Linked DNA regions of Xenopus tropicalis. The protein of the gene in region 1 interacts with the protein of each later gene in a biochemical or structural test. Links are inferred from orthologs where the notes say so. Each region holds a gene or a part of one and is shown in the gene's direction. Other genes may lie near its edges. The genes, in order: dmd.3 and dtna.

Region 1 (17,186 bases):
TAAAATAGGTTAGTTCTTTTTAGTGGTGTAACTTTAGAGGAAACAGACTTGGCAACAGGGGGTCCCAGAACACAGGATCTGCTTCCTCTATAGTTGTAAAGTCTTCCTTCCCCGCTTCCAAGTAGTAGAACTGCTGGGTAGAGAAGACTCATTTAGTCAGAAGATGCAGGTGGGGGCGAAAGACAGTGGGGGCAGGGAGTGGGTGGTTTCGTGTATGTATTGCTGTGCACCAGGCCCCTCCAAAGATTATTTTGTGGGGGGGGGGGGGGAGACTGGTACACACTAGTTACACCACTGATTCTTCTTATGCATTTATCTGACGTTGTGCTAAATTATCTGTGTGGTCACCCAGTTCTGCCCAAATTGCTTGTATTTTCTTTATTGCTGCAGCCACTGTTGCAAGTACAGTTTTAGCTATAGAGGCGGTTAGGTGATCTTCTAATGTATGCAGCTGATTGGCTAATATCTGTGCAGTATGTAAAGCTTTCTCTGGGATTTCCCAGTAAAATACTAACCTGGAGTCTTTTGATGGTGTTGTGTGTAAAGGGGCTGTGTAGCAAGACATAGGGGCAGATTTATCAAAACATGATTTTGAATCCCGAATGGGAAAAATTCGGATTGGAAATGAAAATTTCTGAAGATCTCAAATATCACGAAAATGCTTATGAAAAAATCGTATCAGTCACGATAATATTGCATTGGCTTTCCGAAAGTCCCGAAATTTTCGTACGGAATGATTGTAAACAGCGGCAAAACCGATCCGATTTTTTCACGCTAAAAAAACGAAAAAAGTTGCGAAAGCGCCGAAAAAGTTGAGCAAGGTACGAAAAAGTCGAACAAACACTCGGAGTGTTCGTGGATACGTAAATGTGCCCCATAGAATGTAATGGAATATCAGATAATTTTGAGTGCACCCAAGAACCTAGAAATTTGGCATTAGGCCAACAGTTTCGGCAACCCAGGTCAAGATGACTTTATTTTAAATTTAGTGCCCTGTCCTGTTGTTATGTCATGGTGAATATCAAAATGTGGTAAGAGTGTGATCATGCCAGAGTTCCCTTGGTGTCAAAGAGAATATCACCAGATGGCACCAATCACAGCAACTTTACAAGTAGTAATATTAATGTGAGTAATGTATGTTAGAATGGTTGTATAAACTTTAATGGTGATGTTAGTGCATCCTGTATATTGGATTAATTCAGCCCATGCCAACCAAATATTTTGAGATTTATTGTAGTAACTAGATGTCTGTCAATATTTATTAGCAGTAACTAAACTCCGGTGCCACAGTTGTCCTACTTCTGTCTTTTAATATCCTGTGCAGACTGGCACCAAGTTATTTTAAAATGGATGTGATACAGCATTTGGAGTCATCCAAGATAAAGTGCCTGTATATTGCTATCCTTTAATAAACAAAGATAATATACATAAATAACAATACAGCTTACTGTGTAAAATGGCTGGTAGAAAGGGCAACAAAAATTAACTTACTTTCAACATTATACACAGTGCAATGTTAAATCCTACAAAAATATAGGGGAAATAGGCCTAGTTGCAGACTACGACAGGGCAAGTTGCAAAATACAAGAAACAATAGTGGAAAGCAGACTAAATGCACTTTACACTAGTGATGAGCAAATGTTTTCACCAGGATTCAGGGTGAAATTCCTCATTTCACCATTTGTGAAACTGCATCAAAAATTTACCACAACAAAAAATTTACAGAAAAACAAATGGCTATTGACGTAATCTTAATGTATTTGGAGTGAGAAAAAAATCTGCATGCATTAAAAAAGCCATGCACATGTTACCTAAAAAGTCACGCTGCAGGAGTGAGACAAAAAAGTCTCGGGCATAAGAAAAAATTGTTGCATGTAAAAACAAAGTTGACTCCAATGGATTTCGCAAAGTTTTGCAAATGTTTAACACTACTTTATACCTTTCCCAGATGGTTGCACCTTCAGATAGTTCTTTGTGCTACAAAAGTCTATGCCTTTATCATTAATGAAGCTCCACCAGAATTTTTATGTGTGCAATGAGCAGCAATTAGGTGTCCTTTAGTACAGGATTCCCTTCAGGGGTGCTTCTGCCATGACACCAGTTGAGAAACTCACCTCAGGCAGCAGCTTTTTGTCACCAGGGGTGGCAAAAAATGCTCCTGGTAACTTTAATAGCCCAAATTCTAGTTTTTAAATTGGAATTTCAGCTATTCAAGTGCAGAGAGCAAAACTGCGCTCTCTGCACTAGTGCTGCAGCCCCCCATCAAACTGAAGTTCTTAATGCTAGGCTTGAGGGGGCAGCACCAGAAACTCCACCTCAGGCAGCCAGGGGCAGAGAATTGCCCTTGATTCCATTGATTCTGAAAGCAATGGAATCAGCACTTTGTCTTGGATTTTTAATCTCACAGTAAATACTATGCAGGACCAGAACTAGGGGCAGCCAGTAGAGAAATATGCCTAGGGTGCAGCTGCCAGGTCAAAAAAATGACCAGGAGATGTAAAAAGAGTTCAAGTGATACCAGCATGGTAGGTTGTTGGGGTAAAGTGGTGTGAGCAGTGGCAGCAGCAGGAGAAGGGGCTTGGGCCTTGGGGGAGTGAGCCTTGGGGGGTGGGGGGGGGACAGGCCAAGTAATATTGTCTTTGGTGCTAATATATTTGGCTTTGCTCTGATCCTGACGTGAGCAACGTTGGATCTTGACCCGCCCTTCTCCCAACCTTAACCCCTTTGCCTGTTTTTACTTACCAACCCCAATAAACACACGGACACCAATTCTTGGGATAAAATGGCCGCAGAACATTTATTAATAACAATTAGAGTTTTAATTTAAAACATATCATAAGAACAAATAAGATAGAAAACAACTCATGAACACAATACAAATGTTTGTATAACAAACAACCAACTTTGAATAAACATAAACCATAACATACACCATAACAAGCCAATAACTGCGCAGCGCAACTGGCGCTGCCAGCTGCCCTTCCAGCCCGGAACCCCCTACCCAACAAAACTCACCTCCTAATCCACTTACTTACCCCTGAGGTTCCAGGCATGCCATCCCCAAACAATTAACAAACTCCCTTCCTAACCCAACCATTGTTTTCCCCCAACTGTATCACCCCGCCAACACCACTCGTTGCCTCCATCTCTATAGGGAGGGAGGGTGGGCGTTTTCCTATGCTGCCTAAAATGGATGAGGAGCGGGAACGTTTTCCAGCTATTTATACCCCAAACGAAACAACCAATCAGATAAAAAACTGGGAGTGGCTATGTCTGTCCTACTGCTACTGCATGCCCCTGCTTCCCTACGTTTCCCTACAGGTCATTGGGCTACTTTATATGCTCAATTGCTCAGTGGATGAGTCCTAAGGTGGTTCAGTAGGATTAGTATCTAATCCCTGGTGTCTGGCACTGCTAGGGCTATGGCTAGGGTTCATTTTGAAATAAAAATAAAAATGAATCCCATATACTATACTAAGAGCTTCTGAAATATTTGCATTGTTCTAATAATATACAGTAATTAAGGCTTGTGGCACACAGGTGATGTTGGGTGCATTGCAATCCACTAGAGAACCATGGCATTTGTACATCTGAAATATTAATGCTTCCTCTAGCAAAGGTAGATGAGTGAGTGCTTTGGAGTGGTGGTTACCTGTGTCTGACATAAGAAGAGTGTCTCCCATACTTTGCTATGGAAAGTGCTAACAGCTGATTATGTGTTTTTTAACTGCTGTGATTCTCCTTCACAGTACTGCAGCTGTCACCTAAGAAGCTGTAAAGAGATTAGTGTTTAGCAATAGAAGTACAATAATTCCACTATTATGCAGAAATGTATCCAAATGGTTTCATACTTCTACTGAAGGATCGCAAGTTCCCATAATGAATCAGAAAGTGCTGGGCTCTGCCTGAGAGTCAAAACAAATAGTTTCAATAGAAACTCCTGCCAAAACAACAGAAACAATAGAAATAAAAAAAAAGGTTCCCTGTTGCCAGAAGTGTATTATAATGGATGCATTGTATTTTGTAAAGCAAATTTAAGTGGTGTATTCAGTTAATAGAATTAACTTAAAAAAAAATATTTAACAAAGAGACAATTTGTATCACAAAAAGTGACCAATTAAAACACTGTACAAAATTTTTATATATTTCTGTAAATATTATCCTTTCCCTTTTACCATTTAGTGATGGTCTGTGTGCTCCATCAGAGATCACCTGACAGGAAATAATGCAGTCAGGGCCGCCGTCAGAAATCAAGGGGCCCCTCACAACAAAATTTTCTGGGCCCCCCCAATGGCCCTTCCCCCAGTGACCCCTCCCATCAGTTACCAAGCAGCCTATGCAATAAAATGTCTCTTTAACAAATGGCACACACTACACAGAACACAAATGAGTTTTATATTTGTTAAATCACATTTATTACTATTATTATTAATACAGTACAGGCACTATACAGGCACCCATTAAACACCCATTATACACCTGCATCCTCACTTTTATAAGGTCGCGCCCCGTGCGTACTGACGTCACGTGTACACACGGGGCGCAGCCAATCAAATTACCCGCTGACCACAACCTGCAATGTTCAGGGGTATATTTCCTATTAGCTGTGCACCCACAATGGGGTATTTTTTGCCTGTTTTTGCACATGACAAATTGAGTATTTTTAATAGAAAGCTTATTGCATTAACACCTAATGCCATGTCTTCCATTTTTGGAAAATTTTTCTTTCTTCATTTAAATTGGATCAGATTTTTTTGGTAGGATTGGTATAAAAAGTTATAAAAGGAGTTTAAATAGGTACATCATATTCAACTGGCAAATCATTGACAATCTGTTTAAAAGGCCATTAGTACTGTATTTCTGTAAACATATAATGTGTGTAAACAATAATTGTTTGCTGGACACAAATGGCTCCATTGAGACTGTGAAATAACAGATGTTTCTTTGTCTATCATACTTCTGAAGGAAGGAAAATAAAAATGCTGTGAAGGGAATTGATTTGAACATCTAGAATAATGCACCATCATTAGAACAATAGTTATTCAATTAAAAAGAAATACATTTTCCTTGGTAAATAAATAAAGAAGTTGAGATAATTGAGGCGAAAGCCCTATAGTAGAAAGCCATGCTGAGCAAGAAAGCAAAGAATCTAATGTAGTGCAATTCCTAAGATACAAACAGCTCCTCACTACTGAAACACCAATGGCAGTTAAACTTATTTGGAAAAACTAAAATTATATGGTTATTACCCAAAGGGCAATATAGAATAATGCATGGTTTAATCTACAATAAAATAACCATTATTGCTGTTCCTCTCTTTCTCCTCTTGTAGCTTTATTGCTTGCCTCCCAGCACTGTATATTACATTATATGCTATATGTGCAATGTAAACAACTAATTGCCCAGATTAGTAATGACAGGAAAGAAATTAGCATGCAAGTATGCAGAAACAGGTGAAACAGATAAATAAAAAAGAACATACAAATAAAAGCTGAGGGAAGTAGCACAGTCATAGAGGTACTAAGCAGATGCTTAACTCTAAAAAACATATTTGAAATTATTTGTTTAAAGTTTTTTTCTCTGTACGGAACCCTGACTATATAATATTTACTCCAAACTGTTACCAGATCACCTTTTTATCAGCATAATTACAAAGGTTATATAGTATCATTCCACAGGATCAAATGGCATCAGGCCTAGAATGCTTTCCATTGAGTCCTTTAGATTTATAATGACATCAGCTTCCTGTGAATTCTTTTTCATTCTTTTCATTCCTTTTCGTCAGTCTCTGGAACATGACAACTTCTGCAGAGTGCTGCATTATGTTATATCTCCTGCATATTTAGGAGAAGAAGGAGAGGTAAATAGTAGTTATACAAGCTGGAAAAAAGGAGTTACTCTGCATTGTTATCCTTGTATATATTCACCATATCTAGCAAAAGCCTAGAGCTTTAACATACTGTACCCACGGTGCTGTCTGCCACTAAAATGGGTGTCATGGGAGACTATTGTCTGTCAGATACAGTATATTCAATTATGACTAAACCAAGTTAAAAAAAAAAACTAGACCACTACTAATGAGAAAATTCATGAAACGGATTTCTTGCTGCAACCTTTTTCACAGCTATTTTTTCCATGCAGAAAACATTGGAGTCTAGTGGCGTTTTTCCGCAGTGACTTTTCTGTGTAGAAAAGGTGACTTTTTCACAGCAAAAAAATGTTTGCTGCAAATATTTGCGGTACTTTTGCAAAGTATTATCTAAAGGCAAAATGAGGAAATTCGTCTGCAAAAAATTGCTTATTGCTAGTGACCAGTGCTGCGCTGTATTTGGACTTTTTTCATCAATACAATTAATGAAGGCAATTTCCCTACTGAACCTTTCTTCTGTCTCCAGTACAATGGGCTGCTAAAAATAAAACAGCACACACATCTAAGCTTTTTGATCTTTAAAAAAGTTTCCAACTGAACATTTGAAGGTGACGGTCTGCCCCTACTTATGTAAGCAAGGAACAACCCTTACTAATTACTGAGCAGCACTTGATCTGTTTTTTTGTTTTTCTTTTCTGCATCTAGAAAATGATTGCACATTATTAGACATAACTGCAAAACAAACTGCATTGGCTAAAGAGATTGACATTTTTGGCATCCTTTCCACCCTTGTGGAATACAGTATATATTGAACACAGACTCATGATATTTCAGCTGCAAGCAACTAAGTGAGATATAACTAAATTATGTTTTCCCTCTGAGTATAGTTTGGTAATTTGGTATTTTATGGGTCTTTGTATTGATTGTGCAAAGCTACGGAAACAGTTTCAAGAATCAACAAGTTGATGCTGATTTATAGTGTGTCAGGTTTAATATTCACTACTCCACATTCATGTTCTTGTAGTTTATACGGGGCTAGTTCTATTTTAAGGAAGAACAGAGATCAGCACCTGTTTTCTCTGATCTGTGGGGTTGACAGTTTATTCTCCTGTTCCAATGCAGACACTATTTGCAGTTTTAAAAGGCTGTCTGCTTTAGTGGGAATAACACGTTACCTAACTCTCTAGAGTAACTTGCTTTGCTGAGAGAGAAGTAAGACTACCAAAAACTTTGGGTGTTTATTCTGCAGCTTTGAGGCCCGTCAGTGAGAGCTTCTGTACATTATGGCTGAAAGTGGATATCAAGAGGAGCCCAGAGGAGATTCTGCTGCGGATGAGTTCACTGATATGATCAAGAACAGATCCGGTAATGTCAATATTAGTTTCTTTACTTCAGTGTGGGAACTTAAAAATAATAAATCTGGCTTTATTGTGATATGAACTGTGTAAGATATTTAGCAGCAAAGCTTCCAGTTACAAGTGTCTGCTGTAGTGCAATACTACTTAAGTCATTCTGACATTTCGCTTACTAATGCAGCAACATTTGCAGTAATCATTTAAAGATCTTTTAAAGCCTTTTGGGTTTTATGTGCAGCCCAGAAATCACAGTATTTGTGATTGAAAAATATTTACAATAAAAGTAATAATAAGAAAAATAAACTGCTGATAAAAAAATGTGTTTTATCGGCAGAAAAAATACACGCTGGCTGTATATATAACTATAAAAGGGACTTCCCATGCCTTTGTGTAGTATCCAATTTTCTGACAGCTCTTTATGCCATTTGTGTAATGGGGCAGGTCATTACAGCTGTAAATGGAAGCGACTGCATTGCTTTCCCATAAGATACTGTTTCAGCTGCCATGCCTCACTCAGCTTCATTATGGAAGTAGATCAGCATAGTAATTTATAAACCATTCAATGTTTAGTTTATTTACAAGTTCACTAAGCATGCTATATAAGGCTGAAAAATGTACTATAGCACTTTCATGGCTATCTTAAATTTACTGCTCATACATAGTGAATGCATTCAGATGAACTGTAATAGGGGGAGAAAAATTAACAGCTGTGGGGAAGAGTAAATCTCTTACAAGTACACCGCTCTCATTTTACTCTTGTGAACTTGTGACTTGAATAAAGTTCATGCAATGCATAGCATGGTAAGTGCTAGAAATACGTCCCAAATCTCGTAGGATCACATATACGGTACAGATATACTAAATACATTATAAGCACGCTTCACCAGCCTATTTGACACTCACATGTGTTCAGATGTTTATTCAACAGTGGCTTTCACACTTAGTTGACATAAATCCCAGGGAGTGTGAGGTATTTTAAAACAGAGATTTATAGGTGGAAAGTGCACATGTTCACTGAAAGGCTGTACATATATATGGAGGAGTATAAAAATATAATTCAAATAAAAACTATTTCAGATTGAAAACTGTATCCAGAATGAACAACAACAAAAATTGGCTTAGACACAGGATGTACTGACAATTAATTGGGGGAATGCAAACATATTGGCCAGCATTCAGCCTTTCATAGCCACACCCTGTTTATCAGATCTTGAACAGGGAAACCTACAAGGTTAATGTTAGCAGTGGAACTGAGGAATAGGAAAAGTATGCAGCTACGTGTGCATGATTGAACTATAGCACATAGCAAACATTTGGCCTTAGATTTCTGTTCTAGTAAACTTAAAGGGGTTGTAAATGCAACTATAACTTTTTGCACAAATTAAATCAAATTGAATTTTAAGAAACTTTCCACAATCCTGACACATTTTTAATTATGTCAAGCATATTTACTATTCAATGCTGTATTTTGCTGTTTTTTTGCTATTCTCTGCATGTCCGATTCTTGCTACATGTATCATTGAAACAATGTTACAGTAGTCAGCACCTTCATCTGTGAAACCAATTCCTACAATGTCTTGCACACTCTGTGATTAACGGACCCACAAAGATAGAGATTCACAAAGCATTGTAGGAACTAGCCCTGATGCCCAACATAAGCATTGAGAGTCAGTCACTTACTGTACATGATGTGCCTGGGTAATCAAAATCCTTCAGTAGGCTGGAGTGGAGTACTGTTTACATTAGTAACCCAGGCTTTTGAAGGACTTCACCACACCCAGCCCAGTTCAGGATCTAATGTAGGCATTCATGGAAGGAAATATATAAGCAATGTTTTACATTTTGATTTATGGTGATACGTTGCACATTTCTAGCTTGCACAGTTACTATGTTATGTACTATTAAAAAGCCAAAACTGCAATTTAACTTTAGAATTGTAGTTTGCATTATGTAGGTTTAATATCTTTTATTTTCAGTCAAAAGTTTTACTTCTGTCATTTATGCATCCTTTCATACTATAAATACAGTGTGGCTATGTAACACTGTGCAAGTACTGGATTTTTGTAAATCCACACATGGATTGTTTTTGATTTTTTGGCAGGACTACCTAAGTTACCTGCACCCCTAAAACATGTGACATTCAATTAGAAAATGAAGTGTCTGAACATAGCTTTGTGGCCTAAGAAGCACATTTCTCATCTCATTTCCAGTGGGTAACTTTAGAAGGTGAACTAGGGAATATTTCATTTTAAAATTATTTGCATCCTGAAACCTACCAGATCTCAGGTGGCTAAAATTTTTAGATATATTAGCATTTAAATGTAAATTTTAAAATGTACATTTAAAATGGAAATGTAATTTCACCTTATAGACCATTGCTCGGATGGGTTAGCAATCTGGACTCCCACCTGGGCAGGATTTGGGATATGACCAGGACAGTAATTGTAATATTAACCTTAAAAAAGAAAGTTGAAATCCTTATGGTGCATTTGTTGGCAGGAAAAGGTCCAGCATTGTAAAAAGGTCATGAAAAGGAAATACCCAAATGTGTCATGCCCTTGTTCCATGGGATTTATCTGGTATATAGCGTAGCATTGTACTTGTACAAAAAGTGTTAATGTGAGTTTGTTTGGTGTGTGATAAGGACTTGGCAGTGACATATTTCATTTTTATCCGTGACCAGGTATTTGCACTGCAGCTGAGTTCACAGTTGCATGCACTCTTCTATGTTTGTTCTGCATGCAAAATAAAATACAGGTGCATAACTGGTGTGTGAAGAAAATATGGTGCTACTGCCTCAACGGCTAGGTGCTATTGCTAAGTACTTCTCATGCTCACACAAAGCTGATGTACATGTATAGGCAGTATGCCACAATTTAAAGAACTTATACTGCATAAGAGGGCTCCATTTTACTCCTGAAATTTGTACAGAATGGCTGGGATAATTAGCAGGTCTAGAAAAACATACACAACTGTTGAGGTGGTTGGTTAATGCCTTACTCAAACTATATTTAAGGTTTTGCTACACTAGTACCCGATCCTGGTGAGGTTAACAAAATGGTATTATGACATATTTGCTATGTAACACCACTGGGACAATATCCCATATGTTGTGGGATTGTCCATTTGCAAAAAAAGCTATAGTACTATAACATGCTTGATAATATTTGGGAATTAAACAGAGAAATAAACTGTATATAGCACTACTAAACAAACCTTCAGACACTGTTAGGAGATTTAAATGTAGGTTCCTTTTTTCATGTTTCCATAAAGACACCTATGGGGGACTATAATAAAAGGGATTCACAGCAAAATGAGTGCAATGGAAATATTTTCCATTGTGCAAACAATGTTTCCCTTGTGCAAATTTAGTACAGCTTTTATGAATCCATGAAAGATCTCAGTGACCGATCCAACAATAGAAAATAGATTGCACATGTAATAGTCTGTACAGTTCTGTTTTCCTGTTTATGACTTTCATTACAATGGTCATTTTTTGGCTAAAAATCCTTTATTCTGATACAACATTATACATATCAATGCTGTGACTGTTAAGGTACCAGAAAGCAATCAAAATACTGAGACTGAAACTATGTGCTTCTCTTCTCCCTATTTCTGGAGCTTTCCTTATACCTTATAAAGATAGAAATAATGAGTTGCAATAGCAATTAAAAAGGAATTGTGCAAAACTGTATGTAATTATTGTTCCTATACTTTAGACAGCATTATAATTTGAAGTTAGTAAATAACAATTTAATCCATTTTTATGGATTTACTATAATTTCCATGATTTATGTGACATACTGATTTGTGGTCCTGGCCTACTGACCTCAAATTGATCTACAAACGTGTTGCAAAAAGATTGTTTGGGTTTTTTATTAGCTGCTCTAAATTTCGTGTGGTATTTTATGTTTAAGTGATGGGTTCTATGACATAATTTATAATGGTCTTTATAACCTAATTTTTGAAAATAGAAAAATAAAAAATGTTATTTTAAGCTATAACCATTGCCTATATTATGGTGTAATTTATTATATCTGCAGCAACTGAAAATCAAATAATGATTTAGTATTAACAGTCCAAATGAGACTGTTAGGCCTATGGCACACATAAAGTCTTATTTACAAACACAGGTGTTCTATTTCACCTGTAAAATAAACCAATAGCAACCAACTAGCAATTGAATAAACTTTATGAAGATTGCTCTTCATGTCTTTATTTCTGTTTTGCTGTTCAAACTACTGTACAACTGACTGTATACCTGTGGTCAAATGGGGAAATGAATGCAATGTGGTCTTCCATTTGGAAGAATATAATGTACAGTACAACCGATGGCAGATTTCTGGGCAGCATTGGAATGGATCAATTTAACATCCATATTAGTAATTGAGTGCTAAAATCTCCACTCCCCAGGTGTTTTGTTGCTGCAGCTTTATGGATAATTATACAAAACATCAGGAATTGTCTTGGATTGCTTCCCTTAATGGTCTTGGTAATTACCCATGAGAAAGCTTGAGTGCAATTAAAGTTTAGCATACCGAGAGACAAAGTGCAACATTTCCCAGGCAACCATCCCTGTGTGCCAAAAAGCCTCAGTTGAAAGAGTGCAAAAACAACTGCACATTTAACTTCTTAATATATTTAACTGTTTTTTCTTAAATGGTATGATAATTTTCATAATCAGTAGAACTGTCATATCAAGGCTTATATTATATGTATGTTTTGTTGTATTAACTGTTCATGATAATAGATGTAGCTACCACATGCAGGGATTACCACTGAAAAAAACAAGAGTTCCAGGGGAAGGACAAATGAATTATTATTTCCATAATGGTCCCTATAGGGAGTTGGGACCATATGGAAATGTTTTGTATAATATGTTCCCTGTAAATGTACACAGGGGTATTCATTTCGCTTCAAATTCATTACACATTTGGGTGTTCCTAATTGGTTTGGCATTTGTCTATGTAGGTATATAATTTGGAATGATCCTATGCAGAGTGATTAGCTGTGTCTTGGTTAAATGCCAATGTAATGTACTAATTGCTAATCATTTTTTGGTTTATTGAATGCCTACTTTTTCCCATAATGACTGTATACCAGGGCAAACATCAATGCAAAGAGGAAGGGTTCTTGACTAGTCTAGTAGTATAAATTTATAAAGACATGTAATGGAATGTAGAGGAGGCCTTAATTGCATGTGTAGTTTCAATTATTTAATTCTATATGCCGGAATTTTTACATAATTGCATCTATATATATATATATAAAGTTCCCAATTACGGAAAGGCCATCTCCTATAGACTCCATTATAACCACATTATATTTAATTTTTAAAAATGATTTTCTTTTTCTCGGTAATAATATAACAGTACCTTGTACTTGATCCCAACTAAGATATAATTACCCCTTATTGGTGGCAAAACAAGCCTATAGTGTTATTTAATGTTTAAATGATTTTTAGCAGACTTAAGTTATGGAGATCCAAATTATGGAAGGATCCCTTATCTGGAAAACCCCAGGTCCTGAGCATTCTGGATAACAGGTCCCATACCTGTATATATATATATATATATATATATATATATATTTATAAATGTAATATGTTTAAATTCACTAGACAGCTTTTGGCTCTTTTCTTTGTCAGAACAGATTAGCATATTCTCTCAGTAGTTTTTGAAGAGGCTTCCAGGGATATTTCATCAAAGCTACAAGTGTCTGAGTGAATAAAGTGGGTTTTGTGAAGTTACAATTTAAAGTCAATGTTGCAGTCCAAAATCAATATTTGGCCTGGATCAGATTCTTTTGTTTTGATGTTAATTCACCCAAAGTTAATCACAGGATCTGTGAAGTCATTAGAGGACAATGGGAAAATGAACAATACTCCTTAGTGCTGCAAACAAACTATCATCAAACTAATTGATCCTGGTCCAAAAAAAAAGGTACACATTAGGTTTCAAACTAACTTCTGGTGCATAGATCAGAGTTTCAACAACACACGGAAGCACATCATTATGGATATAAAAAAATATTCTACATGGAAAACAGGTTACAATCCCTATTGCAGCAGTTAAAGGGCACATTTAAGAGTGCCCCTCCAGTCATACATTGCCTTTTCTCTAGCTGGAGTAGTTTTCTGTGCTCAGCCCCGGATTTCTAATGGGGGCGCCCCGAGGCCACCCCCATTCTGTGCCCCCCAAGCCCCCCCCACGCATGCGCGAACACGTGGAAATGTTAATTTATGTATTCATATATTTACGAGGAATATTCCTGTACATATTAATGTACAGGGTAAGTTACTTCCCTTGTATTTTACTGTACATTTATGGGGCAACAAGTAGAATACTATATATCCCCTATTTATAAAGATTGTTGCTCTTATTACAGAAGGGCACATTTTGTGTGATCAGTTTGTAAAAGTAGACAATCTAATTCAAAATATTTTAAAAGATGCAGAAAGCCAAATAGCAGATATCAGCAAAAATAAACTGAGAAATCTTGGTGAACTTCACTGTACTTATACTGTATAACAGGGGTCCCCAACCACCGGGCCGGGAACCAGTGCTGGGTCGTGGGCTGTGCTGAACTGGGCCACCTCTGGTCCTACATACCTGATATCTCAATTCTCCAATGTGTTCCACAGCCATGACAACAGCAATGTGAAGCCCTGGAAGCTTTCTACTGATTGCGACAAGGGCCAAAGTACTGTACTTAAAGTTCCATACTAAGCATCAGAGGATGTCAACCCTTAGGTGGGAGTAAGAAAAGCAAGGGTGCTGGGCGCATCTAGTTGAAGGGAAACAAGCTCAGGTCCCCCACTGAGTTTGCATTATGATGAGCTGTATTATATTTTATAATATAATAATAATAATAAAATAAAGTGCAATAATAATTACATTTACATCATATATGTAATAATTCAATTATATACTATGCATTGGCTGTGCCAACCCCACAACCCCGGTCCTTGGAAAAATTGCCTTGCTTGAAACTGGTCCATGGTGCAAAAAAGGTTGAGGACCACTTCTGTATAAAATGCATTTTGTATTATTGCACCATTTATATGTTAAAGTTCCCCAAGTCTCTTAGGTAGGACTATCACAATCTTCTGCTATATAATTGTTAAGGCTGTATGGTGTGGTTGGGGTTAAGGGTCTGTGTGTGTGTTGTGGCCAATTATCATCCAGCATAGGTTTTTAAGTCCAGTCCAGTGTTCCCTCCTTGTCAGTTTAGTTTGGCTCCTGGAGTGTTCATGTGTGGAGTGTAAACCTACCTTCAGATAGTTAGAAAAACTTGTGTATGATTCCTTCCACAGAATGAGATCACTTGGCCAACAGTCCTATATGTGTATTGCAAGATTGTTTATTAATGTGGACTGTTAGATTTGTGAATGTTGTACAAAGGTGAACAACCCCTTTAACATCGACCAAACTACCTGATTAAATCTGGACATATTTGGTTAGCTTTACTTTGATTCCTATCAATGCTGACAGTATTTCCTATTCATGTGAATAAATATGGGTACATACAGATACCATCTGTAATTGGCCAAAAGACACATTATTTTAAATGTAAACGGTAAACAGACTCTTTAATGCAGTATAAAAATTCCATATGATTTTAGTAAAATCAGTATTTTGTTTCCTTCATATATATGTTCCATACGTATATGTTTATGATATTTGCCTGTTGCACATTACTTAATGTATGGGAAAAGCTGTGCAGTAAAAAAACCACCCCATTACCATACTGATGTAAGGAAGATTTGATAAATGATCCTATTTGGTTAACTAGTTACTGCTCGTTACTGCTGGATTTATTCTAACACAGATTTAATGTGTTATCAAGCTCTCTTCACTTACATGAAATTAAGTTTAACTGAGTAACAGCAGAGTGAAAAAGACTATTTATGCTCTGAATTCCGAATCACTTGCTATTCAAATCATTGAGAATTAACATACAGTCTGGTACATTAGACAGTAATAGGGCTCTAAGTAACTGCAGCGAAGGGAGTCTGCTGCTTCTGTCTGCTTAAATGTGTCAGGAAGACACTAGCTAGCCATACTAAGGCGGCCAGGTTTAGCACAGTGTAAATTTGCCTGCAATTCCATATGCATTCTTAATTTTCTTACTTGGGAAAATGACACCTTCAGAAAGGCACACAAATGATACTATATCCTGTCTTCCAATCCACTGACTATAATAATAGCAACACTTCTGTATGAGCTCTTTTGGTGTCTGGTGACTTCACCACAAAGAGTCAGTTACGAGGAGGGAAGAAGAGGATAAGCATGAACAGCTGCTTCTTCTCCGTAAATTAAGCAATTCAAGAGGGAGGTTTCGGTGAAAGTGCGTTTATGATTCTGATTTCACATATTTTCTGTATTATCCAGCATAATTAATATGTATCTGTTCAGTGTCTTTTTCTAAACACATTAACATAGTTATATGGTATATCCTCTCCATGTAGGTAACAAATATTCTATGTTTCCATCACTCTTGGTATAATATTTGACTGCTAGACCAACCTCTATGCAATGCGCATAACAAGGGAGCAAGGGTGGGGAGTTTCTGTGCTTAGAGTACAGTAGGTCATAAGAGTAGCTCTGACATTACTTCCTGACCCACTTTCCTCTGCCAGCCCACTCATATAACTCAATACTCCACCTAGACCACCCACTGGTTTACTGTCTGTAATATTATGGGCTTATTTATGATTTTTCAAGTTTGTGAATTGGATCATTTTTCCAATTCAAATAAACTTGCATTTTAAAAAAAGTTGGAATGTTTGCTTATTTATTAATACAGAAAACTCATTATTGGAATAAAACAAACTTGAATACCTCAAATTTGTACGTTTACACACAAAAAAATGAAAAAAACAAAAATTACAAATATGGCTTGACTGTGCCTAGGACAACTCCCATTGACTTCTACATAAATTTGCAAGGTGTTAGATGTTTTAATTTCAAGTTTTTGGGGTTTTTTTTGCACTTAATAATATCGGACATTAGAGTTTTTGAACAATAATTTGAATATTGGACATTTAAGCACCCCTTTTCAGCCTGAGCTCAATCAATAGGCGTTTTGCTGGACATACAATTTGCCTATTTTAATTATGAAACATTAATCGTTTTTGTTATTTATGGCATTACACAATTAATATTAAGGGACAGATTTCTCAGCATCCACATTTGACTTTTTAGCACTAGTGATGAGCGAATCTGTCCCATTTCGTTTCGCCATAAAATTCGCGAAACGGCAAGAAAATTTGCAAAACGCATTTGTCGCCCACGGCTACTTTTTTTACATGACCGCGCCCAATTTCACGCGACCAAGCCCCGATTTGAAACGACCATGCCCTTTTTAGACACGACCACGTGACAACCAAAAATCCGCACGTTGAATTTTTTCCGTAGCGTATTTTCACTGAATTCACCAATGGTGAAATGCGGAAATTCGCTGCAAATCCATGCCTTGAGTTTTTGAAACTGGGAGTGATATAAGCAAAATTCAGGCTAATTTTTAATTTGAGTTTTTAAAGTTAATTCATAATTTCACAGACTAATTAAAAATGATTGGCTGAATTGGATCTCTTTGCATTCAGATTTTTTCACATATTAACTTGATCGAGTTTTAAGATTTTTTTAATATACATTTTTTTTAATAAGCACATTAAAGTTTGCTGAGTTCTGATAAATCGCCCTCTCTGTTATCTTACTCAGTAGAGTACATTCACAATGCCGCTGTAATCATCCAGTTTTTTGCACTATGCCTGCTGCATGGGGCACTGTGCAAATAGCTGCTGGCCTCTGTGCTCCAAAATGGCCCTGCAGACTGATTTTTGAACTCAGTGTTGCCTGCTTTTGTCAGAGCTAGATTCTAAAAGGGCAGATCTGTTGAGTGCCATTGAGTCCTATGGAAGGCTTCAAAGCCAGGACTGTTTTCATGACGTTTACAAA
Region 2 (16,448 bases), on another chromosome or scaffold:
GATGCAGATTTCCTGTGTTGATGTTCTCTAGTGTATGTAACCGAGTAAATATGGTTATTTGTATTTCCAAAAGAGAATACTGCTTGGGTTATTTTTATTTTTTACTTGTCCGTCATAGATTTTACAGTGATTTATAGCTATGGCATAAAGTATGATGCTATGCTCTAAATACAAATGATAATATTGCAGTTTTCTCAGTGCTATTACTGTCCTAACAAAAAATGAATTGTTAACATACCGCCAGTTACCAAGGGAGCATCTGTATAGTGTTTTCAAGGAGTGGTAACTGTCTGAAAGGCAGCTTTGTTTCCATGACTACTAATTGCCAGATTCTGTGTTTTCTGATTGGGTCATTTTAGTTTTTTAATTCTCTTGAATGTCAGATTGAATAGGTCGCGTTAAGGGGTGTTCCCAGCTCTGTTTTCTTTAGTATTACAAGAGCAAGCAGAAAATTAACTCTCTGGATGGAAGTGATTGGGGTTTACAGTCCAACATGTAACAGTACAGGGTGTGGAATATAAATGTGTTATGTGTTATATATTAGTATTATGTAACATTCCTAATTAAAACAAAACCATAACCCTAAAACAATTCAAGCCTTAGCAGGTAATTAATGGTGTACTAAAGCTTAACAAAGAAGTAGAGTTACCAGCCCAAGGCAACCATAGCCCTTTAGCAATGAAGATCTGTGTCTCCAAATATACCCCCCAGTACCACCCCATCCCCTTACTTATTAACTGCACATGCTCTGTGCTGTTAGCTTAGGCACAGACTCGCAATAAACCGTATATATTAAATATAAAAGTCACAATACAGGGCTGATTAGTAGTTAATTTATATTCACATTACATGGCAACTCGGAAACCAGTGCAATTAACCTCAGCATTTAATAATCAGCACTGTAGTATTAGCTTCTATGACAGATGGACCTCATTTTCTGCTTGATGATTTGCAGTGACCCCAAAGCTTAGGTTCTCTACAGCTGCCCAGAGCACACTGAGTATTATGTGAGCTTTACTGAAGCACTTAACAAAATCCAAGATGGTGAGCTCCTGTGACAACTTTGGAGGCCTTCATTATTACTGTTATAGAGATGCTGAACCTTTAAGCTGGTACAGTAAGTTCAATATATGAAGAAAAAATGGCATTCCTCTATGTGACTATAGCACAGCCATTAGGGTACACTGTAGGACACTTTATGAGATTTAAGTTATGAGATTTAAGTGACTTCTTTTCTTGCCCTGAATCATAGCCCTGCCCAAGCGACATCATGTCCCCGCCCACTGATGTCACATCCCCGCCACCCACCCGGATTTAAGTCCGCCAAAAGGTGGCAACCCTTCCCCCCTTAACTTTCCAGCATCGAGTGGGTCCAGAGGGGACTGCATTGCTAGTATATACACTCTTTGCACTAGTAGAGACAAATGTCTGGGTTTACAGGAATATAGTTACCAGGAATACCTTTTTTTCACCCCTGGTAACTTACAGGGCGCTGTAGGTGATATTGATCATTTGTCATGAATAGGTTTGTGTTTGTAAGTAATTGTTACTTGAAGTTTCTAAACCTGACTATTTTGCCAACCTGACTGTCCCTCCTCACTCTGTCAGTTACAGCTTCTAATGATAACAGTCTACTGCTGCACAAATATGGCAGCCCCCTCATAGAGGAACATGGGGGATCAGATTGGTAATGTAAAAGCATCAGGAAACATTATAAAGTTCTTGCAAAGACAATGTTATGATATATTTAAAAGGTTCATACCTTGCCTTATGGCAGTTGCCCCCCTGATTATCAGAATAATCATTTCTTTATATAGCTCCAGCAAGTTACACAATGCTTTACAAATGGGAGTCTTACAATAATTTAACAGACAAGAGCTACAGATTAAAAATAGGTTTGAAGGGCCTTGTTACTAAGATCTTACAATCTGAAGGACCTTTGGATAGTGAAATGTCATTGGTCTGTAATGGAAGCAAGGCTAATGCAGCAGAAACTTACTTAACAAAAAATAAAAGTCTACCTTACTGTTAATGGCAATCAACACAACTTGAATACTAGAAAAGACTAAATAAGCCACACTTTCTGGTCCAGTTTATTAACATAGGAGGTAAAATAAACCAGTGCAGTTACCAGAAGCAACCAATCAGCAATTTGTTTCAATCAGTGTGCTTATAAAAATGAAAGCATATGCAAATAAAAGCACTTATCTAATTGGAAGTTATGGATAATTAGTAAATCAACCCATCTTTTTATATTTAAGAAATTGCTCTCCAAAGCAGTCTTCATGGATGCCCCTTCGCTGGGTGCCTATGGCCCTCATCTTACCCATCCACACAGGCCTTTCTGACATAATTTCTCTGTAATCCAGCCTACAAACTTGTGGTACTATAATAATTGACCCACTGGAATGAAAATCATTTTAAACAAATAGCATCACCTCAAGGCCCAGCCATGCAAAATTATTGCCAGTGATAATAAACAAACAGATTATATCAAGCTTTCTTCCCTTAACTGTCTCTTGTTGCCCCTCAGACAGCGCAAAGATGAACTTGAGCAGAGGATGTCTGCCCTGCAGGAAAGCAGGAGGGAGCTGATGGTGCAGCTGGAAGGCCTCATGAAACTTCTAAAGGTAAGAAGCACAGAATAGCATCAGGGTGAATTGAATACCCTGGTGTAGACAGATAGCACAATATAAGACTATTTGGCCTATTGGACTGCAATAAAGCTGACCTGTATGTGGCATGCTTTAGATTACATGAAATGCTTGCAGATTACTGCTAAAGAAGCCATATCTGATTTATTCTTTAAGAATATCCCCCCCCCCCCCCACCCCCCGATGGGCATAAATACCAGAAGAGAGTGACATATCATATGATTATCATTGAGGAGGCTAAAAATAAAATGTTTTCTTTTGGAGATATATAAAATATATTAAAAGGTAGCAGTAAATCTCCCTAAACCTATGATTGTCAGTCTGTAGGTATGAAGAAGTAAAGGAGATGAAAAACCAAATATAACATTTTGCAGAATGAAATTCTAAGCAACTTTCCAATGGCCATTAATTATACATTTTCAGTGATTTTTAGTTATATGTAATTGTACTTGCTAATGAGTGCAGCATAGGTATCTGCTTTGCTATTTAACTGCATTCTTGGCTGGAGCAGAAATGTCTACTTCAACAATTTTTCAATAGTGCATGTAGTGAGAACCAGCAGTGCAGAGAAGAGACAGACAAATGTACTTAAAATCACTTAACGTTTGTAATGAATATTGGAAAGTTACTTGGAGTTAAAATTTGCTGTTGTTTATATTTGGTTTACAAATTTTGCATTTTTATACAATACTTTCATAGGGTTAATGTGTGCTGATAAATATTTTTGCAGGAGCAAGAGCTGCGACAGGAAGTAAGTGCTGATTTTATAGGGTTTCTGTAACTAACACTTGTAATGAAAACAGCATGACATGCATTGGTTGGCAATGTTAGCATGTGTTGGAATAAGAAAATAACCACAAATAAATCAGATTAGCCAGATGCACATTTTACAGTATCTACTGAGTTTTCATGGTGTGGCAACATTTTTTTAAGGCAACTGAGCAGCCTCCCCTACATAACTTTGGATGTAGTACAATGTCCCTAGCAGATCTATTAACTACTCTGTTAAAGGGACAGTTAAAAGACTTCCTCATCAAAAGCAAACACTATTTGCACGGTCATAACCAGCATTCAGCAGGCCCAGCAACAGTTGGGGGGGGGGGTAGACAAAGACCCAGTAGGGTTGCCGCCTTTTTATAATAATTGTACTGGCATGGGCTGCAATGGGCTGACAGGGTGATGCACCCAGTGCTACTGCACACAACATAGTTTTGGGGAAAAAAGCTTAAATAAAATATATCTAAAAAATACTGCACTGATTGTGCTCCTAGTTTAGTATTCTTATTGCATAATTAAACATTAAATATATTTTGGTGGTGTAAACTGCAGAACTAGAAGTTTTAATATAATCTGAAAATAACACATAGTAAAGGTGGTCATATACTGAAAAATCCACTCATTTGGCTAAGTTGGCCAATGAGCAGATCTTTTCCCAACCTTGAGGTGGCCAAACAATTGGATCACATTGCCGGGGTACAGGCCAATTCGCTCCTCGTTCCAACAAGATTTTTAAACCTGCCTGATGGACATCTGGAAGATTTTTGGCCAGATATTGGTCAGATAGGCCATCTGAGGGCCCCAAACACAGGCCGATAAAAGCTGTGGAAGCCGTGTATGAGGCTTAAAAAGAAGCGTATATTGTATTCATATTATTTTCAAAGCTTTAAGCATACTGCTTTAATGTTTGCTACTTTTAAGGGTGTCTGCTCCTAAGCAGTTAAAGTGGAAACCATGTACTACAGAGAAACGTTTCTCCTGTTTGATTAAAATTACTAGATTAGAAGATAAGAAGATATAATTCTAAACAATATGTGTCTATTTCACATATATGTATATACATATATTCCCAGTGCAACATGTTTATGCAATATACTATGTGAGGCAAGCACACGTACATATTTAGGGTTACACTAAAGTTCCATGAAGGAAGCTGATAGCATCTGCAGATTTTTAGAATACAGCTACTACTGTATTTGTTACTATTTGATCAGTTTATGCCATTACCCCTTGTCTAAATGGAAGTGGCTCTCTCCTCTGCTGTCTATGCGTCTTTCTAACTGTGTTATCAAATTGCACAGGATAGAATTTTTTATGCCTTATACTCTGATTAGGCCATGAAATATAACATACTTAAAGGAAATGCTGTTTGGCCTGAAACGTTGCAATTTTGAATGGTGCTGTTTCCTCTAATGCATCCATGAACTATAACTAACTACAAACAGCTGGATCAGAATCATTGTACACTGAAGCTAATTCTTTTTTTGTTGGCTCTTATAGCCTTAAACTTGTGTTTAAGGCTATAAGACTAGCCTTAAAGTTGTGTTTTTTTTTGTTTTTTAGAATTTTGGTAATCCCTCTATAGCATTCTCTGTTGCACTGTTTGAGATATTACCTTATGGGGCCGATTCACTAAAGGTCGATAACGCTTATTGCATGCTTTTTTGCATTAAAAAGCATGCGATAATTAAGTCCCAATTCATCAAAGTTATTTACCTCACATTGCGTTAATTAGCGAATAGAAAAAATACTAATGCATGATTCACAAACACATATGAGGCGTTGAACACGCTAAAAATCACATTACTCTGTGCAAATACTAACACCTACTTGGGGCAGGCGGTACTTAAAGAAAATTGCGGTTCGTGAGCTTTTGGCAACACAACATGGACTTTGCAGTGTGATTTATTCAAGTCTGTGTTGGCCCTAGAGTGATGCAGCCTCCAGTTTTCAGGGAAATGGTCATTTTCAGAACCGTAGTTTTCCGAAAGTAATGGTTACGTGTGAAATATATCGCACACAGGGGGAAATAACGCAAGAAAAACACTCATCGCGAGTTAAATAACACAAAGAACATCGCGTCTTAATTACATTGCGTGTCCTTTTACTGAATTGAGCGCTAAGTCGCAAAAAATAAGAAGCGATAAAATTAACACATGCTATAAATAGCGGTTGTTTTGTCAACCTTTAGTGAATCGGCCCCTATGTGTATTAGGTTGACCCAGTGTTCCCATTAAGCCATGTGCTTCTGCATGTACAAGCATATGCACAAATTTTGAGACCTATGTAGACAGAAAATCCAAGGGTGCACAGGGAATTTGTGTTTACTACTTATTCAGACAAAGTGTGTCACTGTGTAACTCTGCCCCATTTGTCTGCAATAGTGTGTGTAACATGCTCAGCTGTGTAGCACTGGGAAACCCATCCCTGTTTGCTTGCAGTAGTGTGTGCAATAAGTTCAACAGTCATCTCCTTTAGTTTCAATGCTGATACTGTTACATTTATTAATAGCTGTTGCATATACTTTTGAAATACTACATAATTCATTCCTTGATAAAAATGAAAACCAAAATCAGAGATTCTAATGTATTCAAAGTGTTGAAAGTGTTTCCCTCAGTACAAAAAGGGAGACATTAACAGATAAGTTACATCTTTTTGAAAACCTGTTTATCACTTCCAATGGAAAGTGCAACTCGTAACCTTTAGTATGTGACATTCTTACAGCTTACTAACCGGGATATATGTATCCTTTCATGTCAGTATTAATCTTACACAAATATTTCAAGCCACAGTGAAAATGTGTCATTTGGAGTTTTTAATCTCATGCTTGGTGCCCGAAGCACAAGAAGAGTTCAAGGAGCTGACACCAAGCTGTATGTCGCTAAATGTTGTCAGTGGGATCTGGCCCCTTGTAGTTTGATTCCGCCAGGATGTGCACAGTCTAGATAGACTGCCATGTCTCTTCTGTCCTAAAAAAAAAACTCCCTTATTAATATGAAATTGTGCATCTCATACCTGACAGTATTAAATCTGAGTATGTGGTACTGGCACTTTTAAATGAAAAAGCTGGAGGCAACTTGTATGATATGAAATGCAAACTTTTGAGGCATAATCCTTTGCTCTTGGGGGTTATATTGCTAAACACAATCATTTTAAAAGCATCCAGTTTACAAATCTGGGATTGACAGTATTTATGCAGTATCTGTTTTTCTAACATCTTTTCTAACGTCTCATTTTTTCTTTTTACAGACTCAGGGGGCTGGTTCCCCTCGCTCATCTCCTAGTCATACCATTAGCCGACCGATACCTATGCCTATTCGGTCAGCATCTGCCTGCTCCACCCCAACCCACACTCCTCAGGATTCTCTGACTGGTGTTGGGGGAGATGTGCAAGAAGCTTTTGCTCAGAGTATGTTGCTAACTAATTTAAGCTTGTATTAAATGATTGTCATACTGTTTTTAAGAAAGGGAGGAAAACACTAAAAAGGGCAAAACACATTTCAGCAAGCAGCATACCAGCGGTGTAACTACAGGGCACCAGGCCCCCTGCAAAAAAGTCTTCAGGGGAGCCCGCAATGCACTGTAACCCCTAACCCTGCCACTCTCCACTCTGTGCCCATCTGTTTCCGTTCCACCAATCTTCTCTTGCTAGCTCTTAGGTAGAAGAGCGACTGGAGAGGGGGAATTCTCTAGAGCTATAGAGGAAGCAGATTCCATGGTCTGGCCCCCCTTTCCCCTGGGGTTGAGTGTGTTTCCTCTATATTTACATCACTGCAACATACCTTTTATCAAATGTACATGCAAACTGAGATGCTTGTTTTCAAACGTGTGCTTCGCTAAGTGATTTCCAGTTGGTGGAAGCCAGGTAAAGTTATGTTAAATAGAACTTTACTGTGAGTGCTGTTTCCTGTGGTTGGGCGGGGAATCGTGTAAACCACACAGTCACAACTGACCAAACTCACTGACTGGGTGCAGGAGTACTGCTGCCACAAGGCAAGTTGTGATTCTTGCCTCAGGCGGCAGAGCCCATTTGTTTATCAGGGATTGAAAAAAGCTGCTCCTGGTAGCCATGTTTGCCCAAATTGAGAATTTTAAATTGGGATTTCGGCTCTACTAGTGAAGAGAGCACTATTGCATTCTTGCGTACTCTAGTCATGCAGCAGGGCGGGGGGCAAGAGGGACGACAATGGAAAGGGGCAGAGGGGCCCGGACTGGGTGCCACAGACAAACTTAAGGTACAGCTTTCTCCTGGTTATGTTGCCTCAGACACAGATTTGAACAAAGCCCATTTATAAAATACTCTCAAAATGATGCTGTTTCAATTGAAAAACTAATGTCAGTGTAGCTATTACTGTAGCAAATAGGAATTAAGTAGTTACGTTAACCTGTTGAATGGGAGCATATGTAAAGTAATTTTATGCCAAAAATCTGCATTAAAGAAAGCACATACAGTATTTATAGAGGTGCCCAGTAGTGTAACTATAGAAGAAGTTGGTCTGCTCTCTCTCTATAGCTTTAAGAAATCCCATCTCCTCAGCCGCTCTCTTACCTACCCAGCGTGAGTTGCTGGGAAATGGGGAACACAGTGGGGTGGGTGTTTAAAGGGAGGGCTGGGTAGGGGCGCACTGGGCACCTCCAAAGATGTTTTTGCGGGGGGCCTGACACAGTGTTATGCCACTGGAGGTACACAGAGGTTCCACTTTGGTGTAAATTCCATATGTAAAAGTTTTGGTGCATGTAGTTATAAATGTACATAAACTAGAATTAACTTTGCACAAAGCAATCAACAGTGTAAAAGCATAGCTTGTATTTCTGTGCCACTTATTGCTCCACTTTAAAATGATCCCTCTAAAATTCAGTCTGTTGGTGTTAAGGGAGAGAAGACCATTTGTCCTGATTTCCCAGGGTTCCTGGGGTCCAGACTGTAGATAAACGTACCAGGAACGCTTGTTGGTCGGCTGCCAGCCCAGTCCCCAATCCCCTGTGTAAATACCTTGAGTGATCCAGTCAAGATAAATTTTTCTCCTTGTGTGGCAAACTGGAGAGGTATCACATGATGCTTTTTCACTTAACTCTGGATCAGTTAGGCTGGTTTAATTTACACCAAAACGTGAAATGGATGCATGTCTTGAAACTGAAACTTGTATTTTTTAAAATCGTTTAAAAAAGTTGTTGTCATCAAGCTGCAACTCTAACAATCCATCAGGTTTGGGTGTTAGAAGGGGGTGCTTGGGAGATATAGTTTAACAGCATTCTTCTCCACTCGGATCATTTTCCCTAGTTTTACATTGCCCCTTTTCATCTAACTCTGACCCATAACGTAAGCTAATCTGATATAAGAGCAAAACATTGACAGTCTAAATATTACAGTTTTTTTTAACTATCTTTGCTTATATTAACTGATATTCACATATATTTTCTCTTCTTCTCCAGGTGCAAGGAGAAATTTACGTAATGATTTACTTGTAGCAGCTGATTCCATTACCAATACTATGTCTTCTCTGGTTAAAGAGCTGAAGTCAGGTGAGTGTCTAGCGCTAAACACAGTGAGGTCAGTATACACCCATATACAGCACTGCTCAACATGACCACAGTGAATAGAACTTGTGTTGAAAATGTGTTCTTTTGTTTTTTCCTGAACAACCTCTCCCCGCATTTCCGCCTCGCAATAGGTTAATTAAAAAGCGATATTAAGCTCTGCATAAACAAACCCATCCTTTACCCAAACTGATGCGAGGAGCAGCTCATTAACCAATTGGCTTATCTTTGGATTGGTAGCTGGTAGCCAGGAAGCTGGAAAGTGAAAGTTGGCTTCAAATTCAATCTTTGACATGTTTTGTGAAAGAAATATAAAAACCAAAGATATTTCTGTAATTAATATGAAATAGTGTGTTCAGCCGTCTTATTCATTGAGTTTATACTCAAAAAGATGATAGACTGACCCTTTAAGTGATGTTCTTCAAAGAAGGCTTCTATGAATAAGGTCACTTTGAAGGAGGCTTCAAAGAATTCACAGTAACAATAAAAAACAATAAAAAACACTGGCACTTCTGGCAAGTAACATGTCATGTAAACACAAGCTATTTCAGTTATTTACAGTTACAGTTATATCTAGATACTCTGAACTATCTGTCTGAACCACAGTTACCTGGTGATTAGCTCTGCAAAGTTTGGGGACCTTAGTATTAATATATAAAGAATGGCAGCAGTTTAAATTTAAACATATGAAGTCTATAGGTGAAATCTGATTGGCTGTTGGCCCCGCCCACTTTTCTAAACTTGGAACATAGTCACCCAGTGACAAACTGGGCAAAGTTTTGGGACCCTGACATTAAACACGTGAGAATGGCAGCAGTTAAAATTATCCCATTGAAAACAATGAAAGAAATGTGATTGGCTTTTGGCAGCCCCACCCACTTTTTCTAACATTGAGTATGTAGTCACCCAGTGACTGACTGTGCAAAGTTTGGGGATCCTGGCATCAAACCAGTAGACTTAAATAGGTGAAATCTGATTGGTTGTTGGTGGCTCCGCCCACTTTTCCATACTAAACCTTCGGTCCCCTAGTGACCAACTGTGAAAAGTTTGGGGACCCTGGTGTTAATTCTGTCAGAATGGCAGCAGGTTGAATATCCCCATTGAAAGTCAATAGGTAAAATCTGATTTGCTATTGGTGGCTCCGCCCGCTTTTTCTAACCTTGAACCACAGTTACCTGGTGCCTAACCCTGCAAAGTTTGGGGACCCTGGTGTTATTACTGTGAGAATGGCAGCACCCCTAAAACTGTAGGAGGAGTGGCGTTTAGAAAATGGGGGGCGCTAAGAATAAGAAGAAGAAAAAGAGGAAGAATCAGCTGAAGTTGGGGGTTTTCAGCCCAACATAATGATTCAGTTGGAATAAGCTTGCAGTTCTATTTTGTAATATAGCATGTGAAGGGAGCAGGTAGAGGCTTTTATAGACTGAATCATTTGATGAGCTTTCTGCTTCAGAGATATGGATACCCTTAACGTTTTAGTGATCAAAGTTGTGTCACTTGCAGACTCCCCAGGACACATACTGTAAATTAAACCAAATTCAAATTATTTTATGATTAGCAAAATAACTGAGAAGAGCATTCATGGTAAATATTGGCCTATTCAGGTAAAACAAATAGGTATATATTATAGCAGCCTTACTATAGCTACAATATGGGCTGTACATTAGCATGAACAAATTCTGACATTATTAAAGCCTTAACTTGCACTTCTGATTCATCCTGAATGAGGCTTGACATTTAGCATTTCCTTCTGCTTTACTGATTGCTGTTTGTACGTCACATACGGATAAATTAAGAACTTATCCTGCCAGGTGGGTGTTAACACAAGCTATTCAGCATCTAATGCTCTGTATGTGGGTGTTATTTTATCCAGAGAGCACTGAGTCGTTTATTAATACTAGTTATTTGCAAATACCTATGTTTACATTTGTCCAATAAGTCACAAGAAACTTTTGCACTTTATAAAGTGCAAAAGTCTCCTTTGGCATCACCTGTAAGTGTGGATCAGTGAATTTTCTGTATGTGGTTTGAGAGGGAAGGTAAACACCAGATAAACACCAGATATTTCTTTTGTAGATGTTGGAAATGAAACAGAGTGTGGTGTGGATACCGAATATGGCCGTGTTCATTTTGATGATTTGGTTCCTTCCCCAACCTCAGAGAAGGCATTCCTTGCCCAGATCCATGCACGAAAACCAGGGTTTAATCATCATTCTGCTGCTACTGGCAACATTCGCACTGACTTGTATGTATTTGTTTCAATGCATTACAACAATGACATGTTTCTTGCTAACAATACAGAGCCTTGGGCTTTCCTTTATGAAGACTGTAGAACATTCATAAGGGCAAAATTTGGAACTTTCCACAACCTAAAAAAAATGTTTTTATTAGAACTGCACTTGTGTCCTATGAGCTGCTGATGGTAAGAATACTGACCAGGAGTTCTCCACTAATTATCTACATCTAAAGACACCAGAGTTCCAACATCTCTAACCAAGAAAAATGCCTTGTTCCATGACAGGACCAAAATTCAATACTTGGTTTAATACTTGGACCTAAATGCAATACTTGGTTCAGTACATCTGGATTCCTATACACATGTATTCCATAAAAGGCAACGTTTGCCCAGTAGCAGTAATCCATGGCAACCAATAAGATGTTTGCTTTTAAATAGGTGACCAGAAAATTGTACTTGCTTATTGGTTACTATAGGTTACTGCCCCAGGGCAAACCTTTATTACAAAACCTCTTTTAGCTCTAAAAGTAGCCAAATGACAAGAGCAAATTCCCTTCTGTTTAAACTCAGTGAATACTGGGTGTCCTTTATATAAGCCCAGTTGTACTGCTTTATGTTCCAAAATCCCCATTTCAGAACAAGACTATTGTACCAACTGTGTGCCTATACACCATACATATGTAATTATGGAATCTATTATACCAATGTTTCTTAATCTTGGGGTTGTGACCAAAAATTGGTGTCTGTTCTGTCTATAGTGGGCCTTCGTTATACTTGTGATGAAGTATAATTTTTCCTACACTAAATAGTAATTAAAATGGTTGGATAATAAATTTTTATCTGATTCTTGGGAATACTTGGGATCTTCCTGACAATGGGTGTTTCCAGAATTCGGTATACTGTGTTGCCATGAATATGAATTTATTCTGGCTTATAAAGCATAAAGTACAAGGCACTTTTTCATTAGTACAGAGAAAAAGCAAATCACTTAAATAAAAGAATTGTTTTAGCACAGGTTAGATCAGTATTTAGCGGTCATTATCTTGCACTGAAGGTTGCACTCACAATATTTGTCTGTGATTCAGGAATATATGTCCTCTTAAAGTGAACATTATGTTGGACAGTGCAGCATTTCAAATCTGCTATGATCTTTTGCCAGTTTTGTTTTTGTTGTGTGAAGTCTAATGTATTATTTTAGCGCTTTGTGCCAGCAGTTCTTTTTAGTGTTTTTAGCAGCTGGAAACAATATACATTTTTACTTTAATCTCTGACAGTCAATAACATTTAATTTGAACAGTGCCGCTGTAATCATTTTATAAGATCATCTGTCTGCTTTTTAGGGGTACAGAGGGTTCCTACGGTCGGCATGATGATGAGACTTATGAGAATGACTCTGTGCGCCAGTTAGAACATGAGCTGAAGATGGAAGAGTATTTAAAGCAGAAGTTACAAGATGAAGCTTATCAGGTGATAATTCAAACACTTAGCACTTAGGAAGACATTTTTTTGAAAAGCAGAACAATGGCATATTTGAATAACATTCATTTTGAAGGAGCAAAATACATTGAGTTTCTAAGTTTGTATTTGTTCTGCCAAATCATATTTTTACTTATTCTTAATTCTATCTATAAAATCCTTATTTATTATAACTAACAGAAGCAAGAGTCTAAGTTAATACAGCTGGGATCATGCTGAACAATGTTAACAAATGAGTAGAATAATATGTATATTATTCTTAAAGCCCATACAAGCAGTGTCTGGACCTATTTGGCCCATCAGAACGTTAGATATTATTGGCCCGCTAGCCCAAATATTAGATGCAGAGAGAGATAAATGTAATATATTTTATTTGGCTTATGATAGAAATAGGAAAGGACTGATGTGTCCACTTGGAGAGCCTTTGGTACTTTGGCATGCCAGCCTGACCTTGCCAGCCCGACCTTGCAAAAAATTATCATTTTTAAGCTATGCAGCCATTTTGTATGAATTGTCCAAATGCATAGATGAACTGAATGAAGCTATGATGGTATTGTAGGGCACGCATATACACACATACATATCACTCCATGCATATCAACTGTTCATGTATAGTCATCATTTTCTAATATGATCTTTTTTTTAGCTCCATTAAATATCAAATGTATTTAATAGATTAAACTGGCACTTTATTACTGTGTTTTTCTTGTGCTGTAATCTTTCTTTTCTTTCATTTTTTTTAAATGTACGTCTTTTGAAATTTTAAAGAAAATTAAGGCAACTGTAAACATTAACAAATGCAATGACAATGTATATTTACAAGCGAATTAAATCCAAGTACAGACCTTAGGGTCTCTCCAAATTTAGCATCTAAACCCGCTGAACAATTTTGCCTTTAGTGGACATTGAAGCAGAGCAATTCCTGGGAACCTGGCTGCAGACTGTGGGGTGGGGCCCTGTTATTCTGTAATTGTTTTTAGGTCTCTTTATACTTTAATAGTAAATTACTAGAGTCAGTCCTGCAAAGGCAGCATCTGTTACCTTATTCATTTATGGGATCAGTAATCCGGAAAGCTGTTATTTAGAATTCTCTGACAATTAACACTGCCATCCCCTGCACATGATTCCTCAGATCAGCCATTCTTTATTCTTGCCTGGATTGCTTTTTCTGCATAAAAAAAGTGCTTTGTAATTTTTAAATTTTCAGAACAATAGCTCTTTACCTGTCACTAATCACACTGAGACCATATTTGCCATATTTACTATGTGTAAATACAGACTGAAGTGGCACTTTGGGATGGTGATAAGGACCGACCAAGTTGCTGCCAGCAAAAGGCAAAATACCATTGAAAATATTATATTAAAAAAAAAAGTTAAACTGCACTCCTCCATTGTAAGCGAGGGTAGCAGGGGTGGCTGGTCATTGTGGACTCCATGTGGTCCTGGTATACGTAAGACTTGGCTTTCTCAGGCCATAACAGTGTCACTGATCATGATAAGTTTGGTCCCTAAATCAGTTATTCTTATTGCAGTGGCGATCATCAAGCTTAACCATAGATTTGCTTATGTCCCTGATCCAGGGGAAGATATCAATGCAGTGCAAACTCCTATACAGACATAGTGCAGCTCCATGTGTTTCCCCTGCAGCCATTATATCATAGAACAAACTGATCTGCATAAAAATGGCAAGGAGAGAATTAGGAGCATGCACACACTGCTGCATACCTGTTTTGTGTAGCAGTGCTGTAATTTGTGTTGGTGCATGCAGCCACATAGCTTAGAGAAGACACTAGTTCTTTTGGTTCCTCCCAGGCCATAACATGTTTCAACTCCCTGTGGTTCCTTTCTGGCCCTAACATGCTGTTTTCTGTGATTGCTTTTGTGCTGCACACCCTTTGGTCCCTTTATGACTTTAACACACTGCTGCTCCTTGTGGTCTCCCTCTGGCCACAACATTCTCTCTTTGGTCCCACTCTGGTTACATTCTGTGGCAACTTCTTGTTTTCTTGGAGAAACCGTAAAGAAGCTTTGTCCCCTTGTATAATCAAAAACAAACTAGCAAAACATCTCTGTGCCTTTTCCCCCTTATTATTATTATTATAGATTAATATCCATTATACACTTCCCTGGTGTGCATGTTTCTTTTAATTTTGCCATCCAATTTTCCTTACCGATAAGATCTGCTACTAATAATTTAGTGATCATGTCTGGTATTCTCTTCCCTGTAGGTCAGTTTGCAGGGCTGAATGCTGTATCATCTTACCCTCCCCTCTCAAGTAAGTATTCTGATCTCAGGAACTAGACATGTGTGGAATGCTGCATCACTAAAAGAAAACCACTATAGTGTGCATTAGGTCCTTGAAATAAATAAATATAGAGACAAAATGATTCACATGCTCTCATTCATGGGGGACCGTGGCAAGGAGTTCAGGGAATTTGGCCTGAGCTGTCCTGGGAAAAAGCTATTCCTCAGTCTACTTGTAATTTGGAGCCCAACATATAGGTTATTACAGTTTTCATTTTGGATTGCTTTTGATTGCACTGAATTTCATTTATTCTTTCATTTTATTTGACAGTGACTTCATCTGTGCAGCAGAGGGCAATCACACTTCAGAAAACATTGTGGAATAATAGCAACTCTGGTTAACATAGAGCATTTTTATCTTATAACCCTAACCCCAGTTTTTTAGATGCAAGAAAAATTACCACACAATGTACAAATCTTCTTCCCAGCAGAGCAAGTAGAGGAATACTAGCACTAGTCTGTATTAGCATAGTACTTGTACTAGTTTTCAGCTGTTCAGATTTTAGATTTTTACTATGGTGGTGGATTAGTAGTATTAGTCCATGGTTTTATTTTCCGTCTTTATTATCATACATGTGTGTTTGTATGTATGTATAATAGGTATTCAGTTTTATTATTTAATTTGTCATCTCTAAAGTAAAATATGATTATAGGTTGCTTATGCACAATGTAACTGTGTATATTTCTTTATGGCACTGTGTGTTACCCCTAACTGTACACTATTTTTGTGTTACTTACAGATAAGCTTTAGTCCAGAGAAGTAGCGGTGAGGACTGCCAACTGAGTAATGAGCAAACGGCACAAATCCAGACTCCCTGAGAGGATCATGAGGGGAAATGTCTGCTGCATCTTCTGGCACCATGGAATGTAGCACAGTCCATTTTCTGCTAAACCTTGTAGTTTGTAGGTGTGTGTTTTGAAATAATGAGAAGCTTTTGTTTGAGTTTTAAACATAATTTGCATCACCAGTAACAAAAAAAAAAACTAGTATATGGTTTGCACTCTTTAATTAACATGTTGCATTAGACTTTTGTTGGTTTTCCACGTGAAAAATGTTTGTGCTGAACTCATTTGGTAGCCAAGTGGCTAACACACTTCCTGACTGATCAGACATGAGAAGGGGTTAAAAAATCACTGCTTTCCACTGGCCTTCAGGGAGCCATCTGACTGCACATGACCATAACAGACTTCAGATAAAGTCCTGGATAAGAAGCTGGTGGCTTCCTGGATTATCCTCAAGCAGTGACTTAATCAGCACCATGGAATGGTGAGCACTAAAAAGCCAATGATCTGAAGAGGAATTATTTCTCTTCGATAACTACTAGATATCTGAGTGCCTTAGTGCCACCCAAGCTCACTCTGCCACGTATCTAGTAGCGGTGGCCAAGTAAATAGTCCTACGCCTTTCTAACAATGAACTCTCCTACAGTCCACTACTGCAACTGTGCCCACCTGCTGACCCCTT

Evidence for each region.
Region 2: the proteins of dmd.3 (region 1) and dtna form a complex in vitro, tested with the Homo sapiens proteins (3 studies listed by BioGRID and IntAct, with this or other methods). The link is inferred for Xenopus tropicalis from reciprocal best matches to the Homo sapiens genes DMD and DTNA.

What each region holds. Positions count from the first base shown.
Region 1 is NC_030678.2:107,309,509-107,326,694, forward strand, and holds the start of dmd.3 (dystrophin), read left to right. Parts: upstream 1-7,026; 5' UTR 7,027-7,152; coding exon 7,153-7,234; intron 7,235-17,186. UniProt on the Homo sapiens protein: Anchors the extracellular matrix to the cytoskeleton via F-actin. Ligand for dystroglycan.
Region 2 is NC_030682.2:112,821,873-112,838,320, forward strand, and holds the end of dtna (dystrobrevin alpha), read left to right. Parts: intron 1-2,533; coding exon 2,534-2,630; intron 2,631-3,384; coding exon of another isoform or gene 3,385-3,405; intron 3,406-6,680; coding exon 6,681-6,840; intron 6,841-8,864; coding exon 8,865-8,954; intron 8,955-11,042; coding exon 11,043-11,211; intron 11,212-12,542; coding exon 12,543-12,669; intron 12,670-14,906; coding exon 14,907-14,924; 3' UTR 14,925-14,954; intron 14,955-15,723; coding exon of another isoform or gene 15,724-15,747; 3' UTR 15,748-15,967; downstream 15,968-16,448. UniProt on the Homo sapiens protein: May be involved in the formation and stability of synapses as well as being involved in the clustering of nicotinic acetylcholine receptors.